Cricetulus griseus: one gene and its partner. The protein of the gene in region 1 purifies or fractionates together with the protein of each later gene. This does not show direct contact. Links are inferred from orthologs where the notes say so. Each region holds a gene or a part of one and is shown in the gene's direction. Other genes may lie near its edges.

Evidence for each region. The genes of interacting proteins can lie anywhere in the genome.
Region 2: the proteins of Derl2 (region 1) and Serpina1 purify together in Homo sapiens (affinity purification with western blotting; 3 studies listed by BioGRID). This does not show direct contact. The link is inferred for Cricetulus griseus from reciprocal best matches to the Homo sapiens genes DERL2 and SERPINA1.

Annotation. Positions count from the first base shown.
Region 1 is NC_048600.1:84,823,178-84,827,257, reverse strand, and holds the start of Derl2 (derlin-2), read left to right. Parts: upstream 1-1,268; 5' UTR 1,269-1,302; coding exon 1,303-1,431; intron 1,432-2,173; coding exon 2,174-2,239; intron 2,240-2,463; exon of another isoform or gene 2,464-2,568; intron 2,569-4,080.
Region 2 is NC_048598.1:190,875,372-190,879,538, forward strand, and holds the start of Serpina1 (alpha-1-antitrypsin), read left to right. Parts: upstream 1-1,355; coding exon 1,356-1,986; intron 1,987-3,312; coding exon 3,313-3,583; intron 3,584-4,167.

The DNA of each region.
Region 1 (4,080 bases):
AATCCAAACTTGTTCAGAGACAAGTTCCAATTTTGCCTTTTCTGTTACACTGGCAACGCTACGGCGAGGTGGTAGCGCTGTAGTTTTACAAACAAGTTAAGACCACTCTTCTTGTGTTTGCCCCCAATCTCCTCTAGAACTTCAGGACTCAACAAATCCTCTGGCCTCAGCCTCCAGAATGTCTAGGAGTCACAGGCAGGTGCCACTGCGTTCAGCCTTATATGAATTTTAAATGCCACTCTGTCCAGCCTTCACTTGGTTCCTACTAGACTTGACAGTCACACGTTGCCCCACAGTTTTTTAATGCTTCTATTAACTTGTCGAATGCTTCTGCCACGACCAGGATTGTCTTTGCTCCAACACAACCGAATTCAGTTCCCTTTTCCTTCAAGTGGGCACGCATCGAGCACAGATCCTTCAAGAACCAGTTCGAACACACATCCCTGAAGAACCAGCCACTACCTCCTTCGCTTTCCCCTCAGTGTTACTAACTCATCTACCATCTCTCCTCTGCTAGACAGAGTTCCTGAGGCTCAAGTTAAACACGGGAGGCACCCACACCATCTCGACGAGTGTGACGGAGCCTTCGGCCACCACAGACAATGCCCAAGAAAACCGCAGGGCGGGAAGCGCTTCCGGCATCTCCAGCTCCCGTCCCACCCTGCGGCCGCACTGCATGCCGGGACGTCCAGGTCTCCGGGCCCAGGGCGGCCGTGTGAAGGATACCCTGCAGAACGCTGGGGCGCGCCTGAAACGACGGCGCTCCTGCAGCCCCGCCCTTTCCGCTCCTCTTCAGAGAACACACGGCCCCTACCGAAGCGATCCCGGGGTGATGGAGTCTGCCACACACCGGCTTCCCGCCACTCCCTTCAAACCGCACGGAGCTGCAGTAGGAAGGCGGCAGCAGCGACTCCTCAGAGGCGACTGAAACGTGCCTCCGCGAACAAACGCAAAGGCGGGATGGACCGCACTCCTGATTGGCCGGCCCTGGCGTCAAAAGTGGGCACTTGGATTGGTGAAAGGAGGGGACGAGGAGGGAAAGCTAGCTGTGGCCAGCAGGGATTGGCGGAAGGAACTGGTACTTTCTCTCTTCGTTGGTAGGCAGAGAAGTAAGGATGGGCCGACGCGGAAACGCAACTCGTGATTGGTGGGTGAGCGGTCCGCAAGGCGCCAGCGATTGGTGGCCGGCCGAGTGCCCGGCGCTGATTGGACAGCGGTGGTAAGGCTGGAGGCCGGCTTTGAGTCCGCCCCGCCGCCTGGCATACTGGCGGAAGGGGAAGGGGGGCAGGCGCGGTGGGGAAGATGGCGTACCAGAGCCTCCGGCTGGAGTACCTGCAGATCCCGCCGGTCAGCCGCGCCTACACTACCGCCTGCGTCCTCACCACCGCGGCCGTGGTGAGCAGCTGTGGCGCCACGTCCTCCTTTTTTCAGGCTAGCTATGACTGGGTCTTCAGAAAACGGGTTTGGGCCGCAGAGAAGCCCAGAGGGTTTGGTCCCAGGGGTGGGTGGAGACATCCGGAGCTGACTCTAGGGTTCGGGATAGTCCCAAGGGTGCCAAGCCAGTGACCTGAAAAGGAAGTGCTCCTCCATGAAGGGGCAGGTCAGTTACCGAGAGATGAAATCCAGACCTGTAGCGAGTCAGAGCTGCGGGAGCCGCCCACCCAAAAATGTATCTCAGCCCTCGCTATGGCCAGGTGACTAGCGGGAGCAAGGTCCGCTGGGTTCACAGACTTCTGTATTAAGGATAAAAAAAAATCTCGAGTGGTCTGGAAACATCTTTCAAAAGACGGCCCGTGGATATAAGAACTGGCCGCTTGTGTCTAGCCCTGATGGTAGCGGGGCCTCGAATCTCTTACTCGGAGTTGTCTTGCCCAGCTGTTTCGGGTGCTGACCACGCGACACACGTAAAAGATGCTGTTGTCTTGTCTCTAAAATATCCCCACCTGCCTACCTTATAGCACCCTCAAATATTGCAACATCAAACTTGCATTGTGTATTAAGGATACAAAACGGTTGTGCGAATTCTAAAGAATCTCTTACCAGCCATCACAAGCAAGACAGGAATTTACTCCAAGTGACAACAGAAATTATTAGAGCTACTGGCCCCTTGTCGTTAATGCCGAATTTTTGTTTTACAATTGATCTGATTTAAGAAGCTCTTTTTCCATTTCAGCAGTTGGAATTGATCACACCTTTTCAGTTATACTTCAATCCTGAACTAATTTTTAAACACTTTCAAGTAAGTGGTCTAAGGCTACTATGATTAATGTTACCACTACCTTTTTTCTTATTGTTTAGTAAGTAATAAAACCTGTCAGATACAGTCTCAAAAATAATTGGGGGGGGGCTCTGATTATAAGTCTTATTGAGATGTTAAGAAGTAATTCTGCAGCTTGGTTGGACTTCAGAATCATTTAAGAGATGCTAGGTTATTTGTGAGCTCTTTTTCATATACCAAATTAGAATTGCCAAGGGTGGAGTCAGGAACCAGCAGATCAAGCAGGAGGATGGCAAGTTCTGGTTTGATCGGGCTACCTAGGAGATCCTGTCTTAAGAAAAGTGCCAAGGGTGAGAATTTGGAATGCATCTACTTTTAGTATGTTTTTGGTGTATTGAGTTCCTGCATTTGACTACAACTAGTTCAGAATTAATGTGGCCGGAATCCCAGAAGTCAGGAAATCGAGGCCAGTTTGAACTACACATCAAGGAATTGTTTCAAAACACAAGCAATAGTAACAACAACCAATGATAATAATAATAATGGTAATGATAATGATATGATTTGAGAATAGACTGGCCAGCTAGCTGCCCAGGGAGTCTCACAGGATAGTCTTCTTTTGTCATCTCACCACCAGACCCACCTACCACTGTTGTTAATCCTCACAGTCTAGCTTATAAACTCAGTTCTGGTAGAGCTTTAGCACTTATCTGCTATCTGCCTTCCAGAAGTCAGATCATACTAACACAAGTCTAAAAGACCATTCTCTAAAACAGTATTTTGGCTTATTAGAGTCCAGTTTGAAGAAGTCTTTTTCCAGTGATTAAAATGCTAAAGAGAAGTGTGTTTTCCTGCCAGGGTGATCATTCCACACTCTCGGTGAAGGCTAGATCTCAATGGCTGTAATTCTGCTTTATTCGTGCTGGTCCCTGTCCCAGATGTGTTCCACTCCCTTTGCACACATTGAACTCTAGCTTGCCCTTCAAGATGCAGCTTTTGTGTGCCCTCGGATAAATCACATCTCTCACCCTTACTTGGGGTTTTTTGTTGGTTTGGTTTGGTTTTTTGATACAAGGTTTCTCTGTGTAGTCCTGGCTGTCCTGGAACTTGCTCTCTAGACCAAGCTGGCCTTGAACTCACAGAGATCTGCCTGCCTTTGCCTCCTGAGTGCTAGAATAATTGAAGGCATGGGCTATCACCACTCAGCTTTACATGGGGGGTTTCATGTGCAGTGTCCTCACTGGGATGAGGATTCTATGAACTCTTAGGAGCAATCCCATAAAACTGGATTGTTTCCTTGTGAAGAACAGAGTGCTGGTTCCTTTTCTCACTGCTGTGACAGAATACCTGACTATTAGGCCCTTGGTTAGTTGGTGAAGTCCATTGTGGTTGGGAAGTCACAGCACCCAGAGTTTAAGGCCGTTGGTCCCATTGCAGCCCTCTGTGAGGAAACAGACAAGAGTGGTTGCTTAGTTCACTTCCTCCTATGTAGTTGTTCTAGGATCCCAGCCCATGGGATTGCCCTCCCAGCTAGTGTTTTCCTTCCCACCTCAAGTGACTGAGTCTAGAAACTCCCTTACAGAGGAACTGCCCAGAATTTGCCTTATAGGGCACTGTCAACATTAATTGTCACAAATAGTTGCCAGTGATGGAGGGTTTAATGGTGTATGAAGCAGTCAGCCCTCCAATAATGTCTTTGCTAGGTATTTTCCTGTGGCCTTTCCTGGGATTGTTTCCTACTGACTTGTGTGGTGTGACTGCCTAGGGTTAAGTTCTTTGGTTTGTTTTTTGTTTATTTTTTGAGATAGTTTGTTTTGTAGCTTGGCTGGCATGGTTTTGTGATATCATCCTGCCTCAGCCTT
Region 2 (4,167 bases), on another chromosome or scaffold:
ATGGGCTGCCAGAGGGGGAGCCAACACAGCCTGGGGCTGGAATCACAGGGTAGAATGGTGACAGTCCCTCTTTCAGGGAAAGCCACCAGGGACTGAGGTTCCTTGTGGGCACTGAGTAGGGACAGTCTGTGTGTTCCTTCTCCTCTATAGACTGATTTTTATCTTACATGTAGAAGTGTTCTGCCTGCATGTATGTAAGTACACTGTATGCGTGTCCAGTGACTGAGGAGGCCGGAAGAAGGCACCAGACACCCTGAAACTGGCTACAGGGACGTTGTAATCTGCCATATAGGTCCTAGGACTCGAACCCAGGTCCTCTGCTAGAGCACCAAGGGCTCTTTCCTGCTGAGCCATCTCTCCAGCCCGCTTGGGTTTCTTCACAGCCTTAGACTTCCCCGTGTGCCCATTCATCTCTTCTCCTGTGACAATCACCACACCTTCAACATGGTCTCTCTGGGGAACAGAGGTGACAGCTGCACCCGGATTCTGGAGCTCATGATTTCCCCACCTTCAAGCGACTGTTAGTCCAGATCACCCCCTGCTCCCCTTGTCATTACTGACAAGTCCATTTCTCACCCCAGGCCTTGGTTTCCTCTTTGTAAAATGGGGCTGGGGCTTGTGGTTCGAGGTCATTGCTGGTGGAACTTGAACTGATGAGAGTACTGGTCAGGCACCAGACCACTCCTTGTGTGTGACTTAGACCTGCTGTGTTATTTGCTGTTTGTTGACTTTGAATGTGTGTCAACATGTCCCTTACCAGGGGAGTGATCATCTCCCTACAGGACCCTGGGAGTTCACACATGGGAGGACTCAGGACAGCACTGGCAGATGGAAAAAAGTCTGATCCTCTGCTCTCGCTCCCTCACTTGGTTTTCACACATGCCTGTGAGGTGTGAGCCTGTGTGCGGAAGTGTGCTGTGCGCATGTGCATACGGGGGGCTCACATTGATGTTGGGTGGTTTCCTCAACCACTCTCCACTTTATTGAGCTCTCAGTGATCCAAGAGCTCAGAGCTTCTGGTTAACAAGCCGGCCAGCTAGCCTCAAGGATCCCATCTCTGCCCAGCCCTGTCCCCCACCCCCATGCTTGGATTACAGATGGCTACTCTGCCCACATTTTCCAAACTCCTATTCTCACCCTTACATAACAAGTGCTTTATCTACAGAAATGCCTCTAGTTTTCTTTTTAACAGTCTCTTGTCAATTATAGCAATTTGAAATAGTGCTTGATATAGGCTGGGCATGCAGCAGCCGTTAATAGGCTGTGGTTGCTTTTGTATTGTGCCAAATGTTAGCTGATGGGAGTCACCACAGCCTCGATTCCTTGCAACATGCATTTCTGTGTCTTGCAGAAGAATGATGTCCTCCATCTCAAGGGGGATCTTGCTGCTGGTAGGCCTGTGCTGCCTGGTCCCCAGCTTCCTGGCTGAGGATGCCCAGGAGACAGATGCCTCCCAGCAGGATCAGGAGCACCAAGCCTGCTGTAAGATCGCTTCAAATCTGGCAGACTTCGCCTTAAGCCTGTACCGGGAGCTGGTCCATGAGTCCAATACGACCAACATCTTCTTCTCCCCCGTGAGCATTGCTACAGCCTTCGCTATGCTTTCTCTGGGCACCAAGGGTGCCACTCACACCCAGATTCTAGAAGGCCTGGAGTTCAACCTCACACAAATAGCAGAGGGTGAGATCCACAAGGGCTTCCATCACGTCCTCCAGACCCTCAACAAGCCAGACAATGAGCTTCAGCTGACCACAGGCAATGGCCTGTTCATCCACGACAATCTGAAGCTGGTGGCGACGTTCCTGGAAGAGGCCAAGAACAATTACCACTCAGAAGCCTTCTCCCTCAATTTCACAGACTCGGAAGAGGCCAAGAAAGTGATCAATGCTTTTGTGGAGAAGGGAACCCAGGGAAAGATAGTTGACTTAGTGAAGGACCTTGACAAAGACACAGTTCTTGCCATGGTGAATTACATTTTCTTTAAAGGTAAGATGACATAACCAGCTCCAGCTGATTCTCATGGAGACACTCATCCATGGTTTCTGAGCTCTCACTCTGGGCTGTGTCACTCTGTCCCATCACATCCCTGACTCTCCAGTGGGTACACTCTGTCATATTTTAAATCATCAGTAAGTTTGGGAATTGTCAACCATCAAATCCACTGACCTCTTTGAAGGACTGACTGTCCTCGTGCTCACTGAAGACCCCGACGAAGGAGTCTCAGAACACGAGATTCTTCCCCAACCTCAGAACCAAGTGTATCTGGTGGTATGAAGAGAGCCCTGCTCCATGAAACGTATTTTGAGCAGCTCTTTTGCTGCACACCAGTATGAACTCTGGAAACATGGGCTTAAATTTTGCTACTGCTGTCTTGATGTTGGACAAGCCATTTTACATGTTTGGGGTACGGCTGTCCATATGGCCAGGGACAAAGCTAGCCAACTGCTGTGAGGTGATGAAAGAATTAGTAAATACAGTATACACAGGGACGGTTTGGATGTAAGCACTTGATCAACTCTCCTTGACCCTAGCCACAGCCTCCTGCCTGGAAGTGGTTAGGTCAGGATTCTATGCTAAGCACCTGTACCCCAGAGAAAACATCTGAGGAGGGTCTGGGAGTCAAAGTCAGGAGCTTCTCTGCCCTTCGTGGCTCCTTTGCCTCTAAGCAGAGTCTTATGGAGCAGAATATCAGGCCATGGTCAGCATAGCTCAAGTCCTGGCTCTTCTGTGACAAGGGCAGATGTTAACTCCTCCCCAACCTCTTCCTATCCAATAATAAGGCAGGGTTAGGGCTCCTGATTCCATGCTCCTTCTGAGGGCCATTATGGTGGATCCCTGAGGGCCTTGCCTACTCTGCCAGCATTGGTGATGGGTCCCCGAGACCCCTACCCACTCCAATGACCTTGATGGTGTTCTTACACTTGAAATGGCCATCTACACTGAACCCATAGATGTAGAAAGGGACTTGAGGTGTCCTGAGTGACAACTGAACTCACACTTACCAATGAGCATGCCACCCTGATAAGAAGCTAGCAAATAGAATTGCTGTCAAGATTTCCACTTATAACCCCAGGTCACCTTTCAGTAAGCATGTAACACATCTAACAGGTGAAATGCTTTCTAGACAATGGGGATGGTAGCTGTGAGCTTCTGTGATCTGTAAAGTGTGAGTCCTTTAGTCCCAAGTTACCCTCATCAAAGTCCCTGGGCATTTTGAAGTCTAGTAGTGGTCCCCTGTGAAAAGTCAAGGCCCTGGGTCACCACTTCCCTGGCTGAGCCCTCTTCCTACTTCCTACTTCCCATACACTGCAGGCAAGTGGAAGAAGCCCTTCAGGGCAGAGAACACTGAGGAAGCTGACTTCCACGTGGACCAGAGCACCACGGTGAAGGTGCCCATGATGAAGCGCCTGGGCATGTTTGATGTGCACCATTGCAGCACTCTGTCCAGCTGGGTGCTGCTGATGGATTACTTGGGCAACGCCACTGCCATCTTCATCCTGCCTGATGAAGGCAAGATGCAGCATCTGGAGCAAACTCTCAACAAGGAAATCATTTCCAAGTTCCTGGAGAACAGACACACAAGGTGACTCCCCAGACAGAGACCTTTCCCTGAGTGTCCAATCCTGACCCAAAAGTCACAAAGTGCTGCCAGAGGGTGGACTCTATCCCAGGGCCACAGTTTAAGTGCATAACCTTGAGCTAAAATAAACCTTCATCTCAGACAGTGCCAGGTAGAGTCTGGGGAGGGACAGAGCTCCTGGTGAGAGAGCCCAGGCCCTGCTTTGGAGGGACTCCCATCCCCAGAGGACATAGTATTTTCTAACCCACAGCCCAGGGCTGCAATGTCAGCAGCGCTAGCATACATCATGACTGAACTAAGAACCAAGACTGGTCTCAAACCCTGGCCACAGCTGATGGTAGAGATTGAGGTGAGAAGTTTATAGGAGAGCCCAGGATAGTCTGCATGGACAGCCCTAAACAGCAAGGGGCCAGCAATAGAGAACCCTGGGCAGGTTTGCAGAAGGCTCTGTTCGTCTGTCACTCCTCAGTGGGGCTCCAGGTCCCAGCAGTCCTAGGGTCTTCTCCCCAGGTCAGAGGACCTGCTCTGAGCCCAGGCTCTGCTGCCTGTAGGATAAGGAACCCTGTGAGCTTCTGGCAGGCACGAGG